Linked DNA regions of Drosophila melanogaster. The protein of the gene in region 1 interacts with the protein of each later gene in a pairwise test. Each region holds a gene or a part of one and is shown in the gene's direction. Other genes may lie near its edges.

Region 1 (6,011 bases):
CGCAGTTTTAAGCATTTTGGTTTTTAGTTATATTCTTTATAGCTGAAGTGCTACTTTTTATTAGTGTAGTAGTATCATCGTGTTTTGTTCAGTGTATCAATTCGTGTTGTTGTTGGCGCTTTTGACGAACTGAACGCGTTGCTTGGGAGGTGTTACTCTATGGAGTGTGCACACACTCACACACACACACGCAATAAACCCCAGCAAAACACACTCTCCGAAACGGCCACTCGATGTGGAGTATGTGTGTGTGTGTGTGGTGTGTTTGTATCTGTGTGTGAGTGCGAGTGCAGTGTGCATTGCATTGCCAGACCGTCCGGCGCGCATAACGTCATCGCCACTTGGAATAGGGTCAGTGGCGTCTTCTGCGAAGGGGATTTCTTATAAAAAGGCACACAAAACAGGCTGCGCAGACGTAACATTTTCCCAAGAAAGTATGCAGTACTTTATAAAATGTGAGCAACGTAATACTATGACCATAAGATCCCATTTATTAGATGCAACAAGCTTTGGAAAATATTTCTAGCCCCCTTTTTTTGTGCCACGCCCCTGTTCGGCCATTCGAGTACGAATATTATCGCCCACGATTTTTGGTTTTTGTTGCTGCTCTACTGTTTGTTTTCGATACCCAGGCACACAGACGCACACACAAACACGCATTGAAGTACACAGGAGGGGGTACTTGAGTTCTATGGCTCGAAAAGTTCTATGGTCCGTCCGTGAAAGAAAGAAATATTCAAACAAATTTCATCAACTAACAATCGAACGTTAAGTTTCATTTGCTATGTAAATGTAAATCGATCGGTGATAAGTCGGATGTAGCTACTATTTGGAAAAGCTTATATACATTAGTATGTATATAAATTCTGAAGAAAACAGGTTAAGTATTTTTGGGTTACCATCCTCTGGGCGAATAAAATTATCCTTAAAAGTGTCCTTTGATATAATTGAATAATATAGAGTTAGTACTTTTAAATTGGCCACCTGCTGCAGTCATTAAAAATTGGTTCGAAAATATTTAATCTCATGGAACAGCAAATTTAACTCAAATGAAACCGAATCCTGCCTATGGCATTTGCGCTGATACAAAAGATGGATTATCCCGCGAATTCCTTGGATCTTTTGTCGACCCTTTCGGCCTGTCAGATGGCATATTCCTCAGGTGCCCGGCTGTCTGCAGATTTTATGTGAGTTTTTGGGGGATAAATCAAGTGAGGGGCGGCGGTGCAAGGGGGGGGGGGTCAGTTTGGAGATCTCCAGTCAAACTGTACTAAAGATAGAGCCGAACACGTTCCCAGTGCTGCCACACAGATACACACCAATACCAATGTAAGAAACAAAAAAAAAAAAAAAAACTACAAAAAAAAAATACAGGAAACGCGGACGCCAATGGAGAAAAAAAAACAGGGGCAGGGGCAGGGGCAGTGGACAGTGGACGGGGGATAAGTGCATATGTGGCCCCTGAAACTTAACACTTCTTTGGCTCCGGCTGCGAATATTAAAATACCCACTTAAGGCCAACAATAACAGCGGCAAGAAGCAGAGAAAATGTGAAAAGGAGGAGCTAGAATTGAACTCAAGTACTTTCGTCTCGCACTGAAAGAAAAAAATACATTTATGTATGAATATGAAAAAAAAAACTATCTTAATATCATAGTGCTATTTTATTTACATGAAATCTATAAACTAAAATAGCGACTCACTAAGCGTGAAAAATCGAAATAGATCTAAATAATATTATAGCCAGCATTTCTCGCAGTGCACAAACATGATCTGGCATTGGCGCCCGTGCGTCTGAATATGGAAATCGAAATGGGTCCGAGTATGGGTGCGTTGTATATGGAATGGGATGGGATGTGGATAGGAGGACACTTGAGTTTTAGGCCGGGCTTATCTGCATTCTAGGCGAAGGGAGGGGAAGCGAAAGGAAAGGAAACCACTCGACGGCGCACTTGAGAAGCGGGAGAAGCAAGCGGCAGTCTGCTGCATGGATATTAACTAATTGTCGGCCACAAAAATGCATGGGAAGGCGATCGCAACACGCCATTTAACACATTTGCACGCTTCCAAAGTGTTTCCTTTTCGAATTTGCTTTGTATATAGTGGTTTACTCTGGCGAGTGACGGGGGTATATGCATTTTATTTTTTAGTTTGGGTTTTCAATTTAAGCTTAAGATGTGAAAATCTATACTTATACTTGTCTATACTCATTATTTCCGATTAAGCTTTCTGCAAACGTTCGCTTACTTTCGGTTATACAATAAATAATGTTAAAAATCTGAATAGCCTTTTTTCTAGATGTAAAATGTAGAATATTTTGAATATTGCGCCAACAGTGTGACCCCTGCTAGAACGCAGAAATGTTTTTTTGCGAGTATGTGGCAACGTTGGTCGTAAGTTTTTCCCCATGCGCGAACGGTCTCACCGATTTCCTGTAATGCATCATCGATAATCTATCGATTGCTGAGTAGTGCAAAAAAAGTGGGCAAAAAAGGTGCAATGTTTAGCGTTTAAGTGCGTTAAGTTGCTTTTGCGGACGACAACAACAACACCAGCAGCATTGCCGGTCAAATTGATCTAATTGATTTTCGGGCAGTGCCAACAGCAACTAAAACCAAATTAATAAATGAATCCCTGCGCATACATAAACATATAAAAACACACACACACACACATACATTCGCATAAAGGACGCGAACCGAAAAGGGAAAAACAAACACAAAGGAAAAAAAAAGGAAAAAGGAGAGCGCAGCTTTTTCAGAAATTGGGTCATTTGTTGTTGTTGTTGTTGTTGTTGCTGCTGTTGCTGGTGATTTTCAAACGAATTTCATTTGTTGCTGTCGTCGTCGGTTCGGTGTTGTTGTTGTTGTTGCTGTTGTTGCAATGGTCGTGGACGTTGTTGTCGCTGACAGCTAAATGTTATGGCAACACTTGCAACCTGAATTCGTGTGGGTAAGTAGTGTTTGCATTTATGTTGAATTTATTTTAACTTATATACCTTATACTTAACTTATTTTTGTGCTTTTCGCCAAATAACTATTCATATTTGGCAAAAATTAATAGTGAGGAGCGGAAAGCGAAAGGATAATAGGGTAGCGGAGACGAAGCCTTATATTTCCACCAGAAAATCCTGGCACAATTTATGACAACTCTACACTTGTGTGTGTTTGTGTTGGTGAGTAACTTAACAACTATGACTTCTTTTTTTTTTTTTTGCTATGTTAAAAAAAAAATGTGATATTTCATTATTCAGTTTAGTTTGAAGTAATAGAAATTCAAAAGTATTTGTGCTATATTTTATTATTTACTCCCTAATAACCAATGCCTATTCCTTTCTATTCGCAGAGTGAGACAGCGGAGTAGCTTCTTCAAATCAAAGGATACCACTGCAGCAGCCATCCAGCCAGGAGCCTTAAAAAAGCTGTTCAGCTTGAGAAATCCGAAACGCAGACTATAGACAAATAATACCACCAGATTCATTCCGTGCACAATGAGCGTGGTGGGTAAGCAACTAAATCCGGTGCAATCCTCCGGTGCAGGCGCAGTGACAACGTCTTCCTCCGCGGCCGCAGGATCCTCTTCTTCGAACAGTGGAGTGGAGGCCAACGGCGGCAGTGGAGGATCGTCGGGAGCTGCAGCAGCGGGCGCTGGTGCCTCCGGTGATGCCAAACGGCCTGCGGAGTCTTCCAGCGTGACTCCCGACGAGGTGCTCCATCTGACCAAGATCACGGACGACTATCTCTGCTCCGCCAATGCAAATGTGTTCGAGATTGATTTCACGCGGTTCAAGATTCGCGACCTGGAGAGCGGCGCTGTGCTCTTCGAGATCGCCAAACCGCCGAGTGAACAATATCCGGAAGGACTGTCCTCGGATGAAACCATGCTGGCGGCTGCCGAGAAATTGTCACTGGATGACACTGCCGATCCAAATGCCGGACGCTATGTGCGCTATCAGTTCACACCGGCATTTCTCAACCTCAAAACAGTGGGAGCCACGTAGGTTATACAGTATTTGCATTTGTTTTAAATGCCTCTCAATTTGTAAGTTTCCCTTATTTGCAGTGTGGAATTCACTGTGGGCAGCCAGCCGCTTAATAATTTTCGTATGATCGAACGCCACTTCTTCCGCGATCGCCTGCTAAAGACGTTTGACTTTGAGTTCGGCTTTTGCTTTCCATTTTCGAAGAATACGGTTGAGCACATCTACGAGTTTCCTAACCTTCCACCCGACCTAGGTGAGCAATTTTTACATAATCCCAGCCAGCATGACACGCAATTGAAAGTTGCTGCCAAAAGTTGAAGGGGTTTGTGGGTCAAGGTCGTTTACGATTTGCGCCTGTGAGATGAGGCTTCTATTGGTCAGATTGCGAGCAGCTATCATGGTTTTTATTTTTTGTTATCGGTTTGTAGGATGTGGACTTATTAATGAAATGCAATTCACATAAATATGTTCGTTCGTTTTCCATTTTTTTTTAGTTGCTGAGATGATATCGAGCCCCTTTGAGACGCGCTCGGACAGCTTTTACTTTGTGGGAAACCGACTCGTCATGCACAACAAAGCCGACTACGCCTACGATGGCGGCAATATAGTCTAGAAACTCAACTATAATGGAACTGCAACTAGAGCAAAACTAATAACTAAAGAACTAGAAACTACAGAAGCTGTGAGACAAAATCAATGACTTGTCACACACACACACACACGAAACACCCACTCAATGTCAACAATCACACTCACAAACACATCGAATCGAATCGAGGAATATTATCACAGCCATTTTAGCCTTAGCACACCAAAGTTTTACCCACCATTCCTGTTTGATGTATTTAGCATCAAGATATGATCTCCTGCAAACGGAAACTAACACACAAACACAACAACAACACACTGAAGCACGCGGATTGTGTTCATTTATCAATGATTTCCACTTTGACTATATAATTTTAAGTGCTATGTGATTTCCCTTGATTTATATATGTATTTGTACACACTTATTTAATCCTAATAAGTAAGGACACTCCACACACACACCCAACAAGAAACAACAAATACATATATATAAAATACGTACGTATACACACACGCACACACAGAACTTATGAGAAGCGAATTGGAAATTTTCAAAAAAAAAAAATTGAGGAAAATCCATTTGCCGTCAATTTTTGTATGCAGCATACGAAATCATACGAAATCTATCAGCTTCTTCATGGCATTTTTTTCGTGTCTGTGTATGTATATTTTTTAAACAAAAACCAAATGGAAAAAGACGAACGTAACTGGAAATCCAAAAAAAAAAAAACACTAACGATTACACGCCGAACAAGAATGATAAATTAAATTACATTTTAAATGTACATACACCACTATAAATTGAAACTTTTCTAAGGGGGTTAAATCGAGGGCATTTCGTGCACTAAAGGTGCTTAAGAAATTTATTATATTCTGAAAAATCATCAAGTTCAGAACGCTTATATCAAAAAAAAAAATATATATATTGCTATCCCGCTCTTTTCGGTGAAGATTCTTGAAGATCTGCGTAGATCGTTGAAGAATGTCTTCTCGAGTTCTGAAGTGAAATTAATTTGAATTCCCGTTCCCAAGAAAAACAAAGCGTTCACTTTCCAATTTAGCTAAAGTCGATCTACGCGATTGACTTCTTTGTACATTTGGTTAAAATATCAAAATTTGGTCTACTCAGTTCTATTCAGGAACTCGCTGACTATTGTTAGAAACTCCTGCGGCTTTTCAAAGTGCACTAAATGTCCGGCATCCAGCCAGTGGATCTCAGAATTGGGAAACATTTTCTGTATCTGTGGCCATTGCTCGCGTCTAATAAAGATGGCAAAAAGATTCAATTAGTTTAGTTTACTTAGCACCTCGGGATCCAAGTTACCTCATGTAAGGTGATCGCGTGCCGCAAATGAACGTAGTGGGTCCCGTGTACGGCGGCAGTTCCTCCAAATTACTCTGATATTTGTCGAAGCGGGTGAGGAATTCACGAAGAACATGG
Region 2 (4,228 bases), on another chromosome or scaffold:
AATAAAAAATTCCAAAATACTAAGCTCGTATCTACAAAGAAAGATTAAAAGACAAATTGATGAATAGGAATATGTTGCCGGAAGTCCAAGAGATTTGGCTGAAAGTATCGACAAATTTTCAACACATCGTTCATGGATATTGTGCTAACACTCTCAGTTTGAAAATCATTTTCTGTTAAACTTTCTATATAATAAGTTCTCCATTCGATTTTGTATTTACAATTTGTTTCTTTAATTTTCCTTTATCAGTTGTATCTATGAAACATGAGGATCTCAGTTCATATTGATCGTGTTCTTCTGCCGTACACCGCTTCTGTCCGTTAATGTAAACCATAAGTATAAATGAAATTAGTTAAATGTTTATTTATAAATAAAGCGCTATAATAAATTTCAATACATTTATCATAGTTAACTGATTAAGACCACTGAAATCAAAAATATTTTATTTACTAAGCAAAGCACACGCAAACAATTTATAATGTTTATTACGTTAACAACAAACTCATTTTTAATAATTCTTTATGAATACACAAAGTTACGCAATTTTCCCTCTAGGCGCATTGCTTAAATAGTTAAAGAAAAATAATAAACCCATAGCGCAATATTTAATGTAAAACAGTTTTCCTTGCGTGTGATGTTTGCTCTAGCTACGTACAAATTCATCATTTATTAAATTTAAAACTCAATTTTGCTTTTAAATAAATTTAATAAGTAAAATTCAACAATAATTGATATACAATTGTCAATGCAATATTTTGTAATAAAAATGCGAAAAATCAATATTAGTTTCACTGTTATTACGGAGCCTAAGGGTATACTAGATTCCTTGAAAACAGGTAAAAGGAAATGTTCCCAACAGCTTATTCAATCTGGCTCTGCCCTTTCGTTTGAATAAACTGATACGTCAAAATTCTTATAGAGTAAAAGGGTATATTAGATTCCTTGTTAAGTATATAACAGGCAGAAGGAAGCGTTTCCGACAATGTAAAGTATATTCTCGATCAGGATCAATGGCCGAGTCGATCTAGGTATGTCCGTCTGTCCGTATGAACGTCAAGATCTCAGGAACGATAAAAGCTAGAAGGTTGCTAGTCAGGGAAGTCGACTATAGCATTCTCTCTTGTTTTTAATCAATATTTTGCCATTTTTGATCAATTTTTATCAAACAGCGTGGCAGTTTTTTGCGGTTTTAGGGCTATAGAATGGGCGGGTCAAAAAGTTGTTTGGCAAATCGACAGAAATTTTTAAGACTAATAAAAATATGAATAAATATCAAAACATTTTTCAAAAGTTTGATTATTATCCTCGTTTTTCTCGATGTTTATGTAGGCACGCTCCATATCTGCTTTTAATCAAAACATTGAACAACACAAAAAATGTAACAGTAACTATGTTTGGGATAGAATGATTGATAAATGAGTGCTTGCAACAGGTCCTGAAATTTATAGACTGAACGGTTACCCGATATATATATATATATGTATGTATATGTTGTTAGTTATTCATTGGTTACAAATTAATTTATTTTATTGTATTGCTTATATAAAGACATGAGTTTATAATTTAATGGTGGATACAGATTTTTTCTAATTTAAAGTAGCAACCGAAAGTTACAACAAAACTAGTATGTGTAATCTATACATCCCACATTAGTAGTACAGAATAATTTAGTAATAATATATATACATACTTTATAATGGTACGAATTAATCCATTTGAAAATTTGTATGTTACAACTTTAGAACATTTGTTTGCCCAAAAATAAGGATTCATATTTTTAAATAAAATTCTTATAAAGGAATGTGTTTAGATGGTTAGAAAGAGCCACCACTATCTTAGAATATGTTGCTAAAGTTTCAGCGTTGCAAGCTTATTTCAGAACGTTGCCTCAATCATACTAACGCCCACAACTGTCACTGCTACAGTTTTGGAAAAGGTTTTGATTTTATCATTTGTCTTGCACATTGTATCGATGTGCCAAAAATATGATGAGGCCAAACATATACAATGGTCATATCCAATAGTCAGAAATTAATAAAAACAAACAAGTTTTTTAAAAATACCGCACATGCAATTAGTGCGCATAGTGACATCTGCAGTCGCTAAAAGAGACCCAAGTGTTAAAAGCTTACTCGACTAGAAGCTATAAATGGCGATTAATTCCTCTAAGGGAATACCCTCGATGTCCTTATGAAGGCAGTGGAGTAGCACAGAAAGGTAAACAGTACCTACGACTGATTTATTGAGATTTGTGGAAAAAGTACTACAGCCACACTGAAAACTCAACTCTGCTGTTAAACAGCTGAAGACAAGTAGACAGGCAGACAAACTCTAAAAATGAACGGAAAGTATGTAGTTAGCGCCATCCGAGCTCTCCGGTTGACCAATTTCAGCCAGTGCAAAGGAGCCGCTAGCAGTTTCACTGTGCGCCACTATGGTAAGCCGCGATAGCCAGAATAAAAACGTGTGTTGCCATTTCATAACATCCCGCGATCGGCGGTTCTTCTCCTGCAGCCTCTCCTCCCAAGCGATTCTACAAGAAGACTTCCGTACTGAGCGGCGACAGCGGCTATGAAGTGGTGTTGGATCACCGGAAACTGAAAACGCCCAAGGGCACACCCTTCATCGTCCGCAGCGAACCCCTGGCCATTGCTGTAGCCACTGAGTTCGACGCTCAGAAGGAAAACATCGAGCGTTCCCGCATGCACTTATCCGCGCTCTGCTTCACGGCCATTGACAATCCCAATCACCTCTCCAAGTTGGACATGGTCAACTACCTTCTCAACTTCATCGCCACAGACACGGTGCTCTTCCAGTACGATGTGAGTGAATCAACTGAGAATTAGAGTGCACATTCCACAGACATATATCTTTTGCAGGACGAAAAGGACCTGCAGGACCTTCAGGTGAATGAATGGGACCCGGTGATCGCCTGGTTCAACCAGCGCTACGACACAAACCTGCAGAAGACCATGAACATAACGCCGCCTCAGGTCAGCGAGCAGGATAAAATGAATGTCGCAAAGCATTTTCAGTCCTACAGTTTGGAAACTCTGCATGGTAATGCAGACCATAAGTCTGGAGTTCAACGTCTATTAAATATATTTTCCTCCAGGCTTCATTTTCGCTGTGGACACCTTAAAGTCGATTGTCCTTGCCTGCGCCGTCATCGAGCAGATGCTTACCGTGGAGAAGGCTGTGGCCCTGGCGCGTCTAGAGGAAGAATACCAACTTAAGTTCTGGGGTCGCGTGGAGTGGGCACATGATTTAAGCCAACAGGAGTTGCAAGCACGCCTGGCGGCTGCCGTGCTCTTCGTACACCTTAACTGTTCGGAAAACCTTGTTAAGCAAAAGATAATTCTTTAAAATTAAAATACCTGTTCAACATACATATGAGCTGACTACCACAGGGTTATGGTAGCACGTATGTAGGTCTCCTAGGACCTAGGACATAATAATAGATGTATATAAATCGTGCCTAGTTTGAAACTTATCAAGGTCAGGTCATCCTCCCTTTTTTTTTAGCTCTTACCGGTTTTTTTTTGTTGTAATAATACGGTTTATATTATCATTTTTTCATACTTTCTTTAAGCACGAAAGTAACATACTCTTTTGACGTCTCTTATAACACAACTGAATTTTAGTTCTGATTTTAATTAGTAAGCCACAAGGATTCTGGTACAGCAATACGTGGAGGCAGTGAACATAAGGAAGTACATTAAGTTTTTTGGAACTACACATGTACAAATGTGTAGGATATATGTAACATTTTTAAATTTGAATGAGATTACTAAATTTTAGAAATATTTAGTTTGTTTAATCCTAATTTAAGGTTCGGTTTTTTTGCACCTTGACATAGAACCCTATTTTTGGAACCCATTGGCAAAACATGGACATTTATTTATCTTACTTAAGAAAAAATTAAGTGCTAGTGTAATAGGCGCTTAGAGGAAGTCTCAAAAAACAAAAATAATTAAGCAATTTTTTTTCGTAGGTGTGGTATATTCTGATAAATACTTGCTTGGTATTTTAAAATAGTTACGGTACAGTCCTACTGTACACTGCGGTCACACTGGTTCGGACGTGGGTGGCGCATCATCGGTGGTATTCTGTTGCTAATTAATCAAGTGCAAAACTACATTTTTCGCCAGTAAATCCGAGGAAAGCTAAGTTTGCAAGAAAACAAACGAAAGCAAAGGCAGTTGATAATATTACTGGCGCGTTTGGT
Region 3 (5,582 bases), on another chromosome or scaffold:
AGCGAAGACCTCAGAGAAACGGGTTGCCTTGGCTACTTGGCTATGTGAGCCTCATTTTTCTTAGCCCTTTGCATTGCTGTTCCTATTGTTTAGATGCAGCTGATTGTGTTTACACTGCTCAAAACTTATAGTCTGATCACGAATAATACTCAAGGATATAGAAACATTTGCTTTAAATTAATCAAAAGTGAAAATAGAATTTTAGTGTTTAGATTGAAAATAGAAATTTTGTTTCAGTTTGGCGCCTTCTTTGCTGTTACGCTTTGCCCACTCCACAAACATTCAATTTGTCAAGTTGTTAAATTTTAGCAGCTTTTCAGCTGTGCCCCGCCCACTTTCCCAAGAGCGCCCACTTTCTTTGCTCTCGCCCATTGTTGAATGCTGTGCATTTTGCATTTTAAATACAATATAAATTAAGTTGGCAGCTTCTGGCATTGAGAACAGTTTTCGGCAAAGCTGCTGAATGAATGAATGGCAGCCCTTTTATCAAGATTCTCAAGTTAATTTTGCTGAAGGATAAGAAGTTCGGGGAAAATGGGCGGGGAAATCGAGGAAAAACTGACATTGAAGACGAATTGTTCGCTCGGAATGAAGTGGAATTTTATTCCGGTGGGTGGAAAACTTTCCTTGACGATTGAATAAAACGCTGAACTGTTGGGAGAACTCAAAAGCACAATACTATTTTAAAATAGTATTACCAAAGATGTTGGATACCATAAATGAGTTAAGCACAAACTCCATTTGTTTATAAAAATATAATGTGCAAATATGATTTCCAATTTATTTATCCATAAATAATGAAAACATTTAAACATAATATTTGAATCTTATAAATTGTCTCTTTAAATATTAAGTTCGTAAATATATTTGAACGATCATTTACAAAATTAATTTTCTTCGTATAGTTTTGGAGTCACACAAAACATCGGCGAGAAATTTCTCGCATGCGATAAACAGTAAATATTGCACTGCTTGAAGCAGTGCTTCGCAAACTTGCGGCGCCTCTCAAACTGCTATTGTTGTGCTCTCTCCCTGAAAATTTTCTCTCTTTGAATTTTCCATTCTGTTTTTCATTTGCGGACCTGCGCTTTTCATTTGCCGGCATTTCTGGAGCAACAACAAAATTCCAGCGCTGAGTTTTCCCCCTGCCATGCCCCCCTTTTCGTATTTATATATTTAGCTCTCATTAAATATTTTCAACTAGAGCGAAAGATACTTCCGTTTCCTGTTTTATAAAAATAGTACTTGCCATATATAAATATACATATTTACTATGTATATAAATATTTGTAACTATATATGAGGTAAATACTTACTTGACTTAATATAACTAACTAGAAAATAATTCAAACTCCTTATCAAATTCAAAGTAAAATTTGGGAAAATCTACCATTTAGTTCTTCTATATATTATTATATATAAGATTATACTAAAAGTTCACTTTTCCGAGCGCTCACTGTAGGGTGTTTTTGTAGTGGGCCTAAAAATAGGAGACGCCACCACTCGTGAAAATTCTTGAAGAGCAGTTTGGGAAATTCCTTACCGAAAAGTTATATATGGCCGAAAAGAGATTTGCCTTGCGCCATTGTTTAGTGAATTGAATTTTGGTTCAGTGTGTATTTGTTTTTGGAAAAACAAGGTGAAATTGCTTTTGAAGTGCGGTTGCTTCTTGTTTTTCTTTCGCTTCCCTCGAAAAGATTTTCATTTGCCGATTGCCTCATTGGATTTTGAGGTATTAAAGTTTTCGAGAGGGGAATTAGTATCGCATTATTTGGATGTTTCTGGTGCGGAATGCAAATTGATTTTCAATAGTTTTTCGACATTTTCCAGCTCGCCAGAGGAGGCGGCTTTCCACCCAAATTGGCAATTATCATCGGGTGGCGGAATTTGTGGGTGCGAAATGCAAATCAATGGGCAAATCTAATTCAATTTGAGTTCCTATAATCAACTGCTGTGAATGTGAAATGAAAGGCAGACGAAGTTCACTCGTCACTTGATTCAACGTCGTTTATTAATTTGATTTATATGACTTAATGATTAACCAAATATTTATCATATTGAAAAAGATTGACCATTTCGATTAAAAACAAAGATACAACTATATTATCTTTGTAATAATATTTCGATGCTGTTTATATAGCCACGTGTAAATACGATATGTTATCAAGAAATTTATTAATAGATATAAAATCGAGTTTGGCGCCAAATTAAATTTTGAATTTCCAGCCGCTCTCTTCTCGAGTGTGACCGCGCTGCCGACAAATGCCGCGAAACGGTGCAAATTCGGCCTTATCGGCCGCTAAGCAGCTGGCCACACTGCGGCATATAAACAATTTTTTGTCACAATTTTTTTGAGAGCAGACGAACGCACATCGAACGCCAATTGGGGATCGTAAAGTCGGAAAAACAGCGTCGCGCTCGCTTCGAAATAGAAAAAAAACACAATAAACATTAGGTCAAAATCGCATTGGCAATCTTTTAAGTTTCGATTTGATTTAATTTCGCGGTGCAAAGCGAAAGAGAATTTTGAAACGTTTGATTTTTGTTGTTTCGCCGCTCTCTTCGTTGTTGTTCTTTTTGTTGTTTTTTCCGGCGCGTCGTTTGGCGTTTTTAGTGTATGCGTGCGTGTGTGTGCGTAACTACGTGCAGCTGTGTGCGTGCTTCAGTTTGATTTAAATAAATTATTAGTGAAAAGCAGCTGAGAAGAGTAAAGAATACGAAAAAGTGCAAGTAAACGCAATAAAAATATTGCACATTAAATAATCAACAAGTGTAAGTGCAAAGCAAGTGATGTGCAAAATGCAAGAGCAGAGAAAAGAAAATAAAAGCAGAGAAAATGCAGAAAGGAAAATTGTTGTAACTTTTTAACAGCCCAATATCGAATTTAAGTGGCTATTAAAAATCGAAGATCGAGGCAAAGTGCAAAAGGCAACAAAACTACGAAAGCGCCCAAAAGGAAAATCCGGTTTTACAACTTCTCTCTTCACACACTAAACACACACATACAAAACACTCACACTCACACCAGCGAACAATCGAATTCTCTCTGAGAAACTAAAACTAAAATTCCTTTGCTGGGTTTTAATGAATTTTCTATGGGAATTTCACCAGCTAACGAGCAGCTAAAAAAATAATAATCGTAGATAAACAAATAGTGTGAATGAAAAATCAGCTGCGACAGGTGATGCAAAACAAAATACGCAAGGTGCAAAGAAAAAAAATACTTTCATGTGAATTCGATCACAGTGAACGCTCAGTAAAGAAGGAAGCTATTATCTGATCATATCATTATATTATTTAATTTAGAAAACAACTTTTAAAAATTACTTTAGATAATTAACTCATATGCTCATATCATTTGAAGTGCTAGAAAGTTTAAATAAATAGTTATCCATTTTAAAGCTCCACTGTATCTCAAGTATTTAAAAAACCATCCAGAAAAGTGAAATCAATAACAAAAGAATTTGAAAAAAGCGGAAAGAGCGGTCATAAAAATAGTATAAACAGAAAATAACAATAAACCAGTCAAAAAAATAAGCAGTTACCTGTCTCACTCTCTCTTTCCTTAATTCAAACATTTGCGTAAACAATAACCGCTTTACAGTAATTTCGGGCACCTGCTTTTTGTTTACACAAATGCATAAATATGTTGAATATGAATAAATTAATTCATTCAGCGTGTACGGGGCACGCTGCCTCGCTAAATGGAATTTTCACACGAAAAGTGGGAAATATGTGAAGAAAATATAGCGCCAACTTGTGTTATCTTATCCGTAACACAATTTTAATGATGGTGCAATTGAAAAAAATAGCAGAGAAATGTGCTACAATTGCTTCCTTATCAAAAAAGGTATTACCTGCCGGAAAGAGATAGTGGTAGTAGTGATAGGCGGGGAAAGAAAGAGATGGGTGTACGGTGTAGGAAATTACATATTTCATTATTTCCTCGCCCGATTTTTCCGACCAAATATTTTTATCTACTTACAATGTTGTCTAGACAGATTCCTTCGCTTTTCTTCCGTTTTTTTGTTGTGCCACCCATTTGTATATGTATGTACATAGATGTGTATAGGAAAAGTCTGGTAGTGGTGTGTATACTGCGAGATTTCGCACCCTCTCCTAGGATTTTCCTCTGCCGCCGCCTTTACTGCTTTTTGTTGTGCTCCAGACTTCAGTTTACTCCACTTTGCGACGACTTTCGACCCCCCCCCACACCCACAGCAGTGGCAGGCCCTTTTGTGAAGCACCCCCCTTTGCAGCATCCAGCAACCCCCAAAACGCATTCTCTGCTCCCTTTTATTGCCTTTCCTTGTTGTTTTCGGACAGTGGTGCTTGCCTAATTGAAACTAAGGCTGTCATAAGAAAAGAAGTCAAGACAAAAACTACACTTAGTTTATTCTGGGATTACCCAGCTATTAAACACAAATTGAAATATTGTGTAATTATAAACAACAGGACATTTTTCGAGATTCCAAATTCTTTGTTTACTGTAGAGCATCAGCTGTTATAGTCAGCTGACTCAACCGAAATGCACAGTGTGACCATGCTGAGCAACTAAAATAAAAAATTTTTGGAATCCCCGTCAGTTTACCATGTAGTTTACTAAAAATTCCTTAGATAATTGCATACTGTGGTGTTTGGCTTTGTGGGCGCCGTTTGCGCGCAATTTTAAATTTATGCGAACGTTCTGTCACCCTCTCTTTCTCCCTTCATATGCCCATCTCTTTCCCTTCTCCGGGATAAAGAAGTTTTGCCGAAACAACAAAAACAGCGGAGGATGACGACTCTTGTCCACCGTTTTGTTTGTGTTTTTGTCCATTGGTTTTTGCTGTCTGCCGCTGTTTTGCTTTTGTTGCTGCCATTGTCGTTGCAACGTCGGAAAGAGACGGAGCTACTGGGGAGCGACAAAGAGGGGTGCTGCAGACAGAGATAGCGAATTCCCAGTGAATTGTGAATTGCGTTCCATTAGCAGCAACCCCGAACACTTGTGCTTGTGGACTGTGCTGCATGGGCACAGTGGAATGGGTTGTATGACAATTGGAGGTATTACTGTGCACAATCGCAATATTTTCCCAATTTAATATTAGCAGATTGGCATTTAAAAAGGAATTTTTCTGTAGCTTAAACAAACCATTTCTGCACCTGATAGCTAATCCACCCCTAATTGCCCACTGTGCATCCCACTGTGCGACAGCTGCTGGTCAAAAGAGCTGATTGTTGTTGGTTTTGCCATTGCTGCTGTTTCGGTTTTTGTTGCCTTTTCTGTTTGTTGCTGCCTCCGTACTTCCTCCATCTCTGCCCCCCTTTCCTTCGTTCATTGAAATTTTCTTGCGGCGTTCGACAAATTTGTTGTTTAAAGTCGCGTGTGCTGGAAGTTGTTATTGGTATATTTTTGTTTTTTTTACGCTGCTGCTTTTACATAAACAATATTTTTTGTTGTACACAAAAGTTCTGCTTCCACCGTTTTTATCTGTGCGTTTTTTTCAGGATTTTTTTTCGCATTTAATTGGATTTGATTGCTTTTGGCTGGCGGCGGCGCCTCTCAAACGAAAAATCCATGAATCCGAGAGGCTTTTTTTTGT

Evidence for each region.
Region 2: the proteins of unc-119 (region 1) and l(2)k14505 interact in a two-hybrid assay, tested with the Drosophila melanogaster proteins (one large-scale study listed by BioGRID).
Region 3: the proteins of unc-119 (region 1) and CG32264 interact in a two-hybrid assay, tested with the Drosophila melanogaster proteins (one large-scale study listed by BioGRID).

Annotation. Positions count from the first base shown.
Region 1 is NC_004354.4:7,287,730-7,293,740, reverse strand, and holds unc-119 (unc-119), read left to right. Parts: upstream 1-2,442; 5' UTR 2,443-2,948; exon of another isoform or gene 2,949-2,952; intron 2,953-3,063; 5' UTR 3,064-3,175; intron 3,176-3,345; 5' UTR 3,346-3,490; coding exon 3,491-3,996; intron 3,997-4,062; coding exon 4,063-4,235; intron 4,236-4,476; coding exon 4,477-4,595; 3' UTR 4,596-5,374; downstream 5,375-6,011. Other genes in the region: CG2059 (uncharacterized protein), read right to left, coding at 5,692-5,830, 5,895-6,011. UniProt on the Drosophila melanogaster protein: Myristoyl-binding protein that acts as a cargo adapter: specifically binds the myristoyl moiety of a subset of N-terminally myristoylated proteins and is required for their localization.
Region 2 is NT_033779.5:21,258,898-21,263,125, forward strand, and holds l(2)k14505 (lethal (2) k14505), read left to right. Parts: upstream 1-2,270; 5' UTR 2,271-2,337; coding exon 2,338-2,437; intron 2,438-2,514; coding exon 2,515-2,822; intron 2,823-2,879; coding exon 2,880-3,060; intron 3,061-3,115; coding exon 3,116-3,366; 3' UTR 3,367-3,514; downstream 3,515-4,228.
Region 3 is NT_037436.4:3,784,747-3,790,328, reverse strand, and holds the start of CG32264 (uncharacterized protein), read left to right. Parts: upstream 1-2,368; 5' UTR 2,369-2,772; intron 2,773-5,582.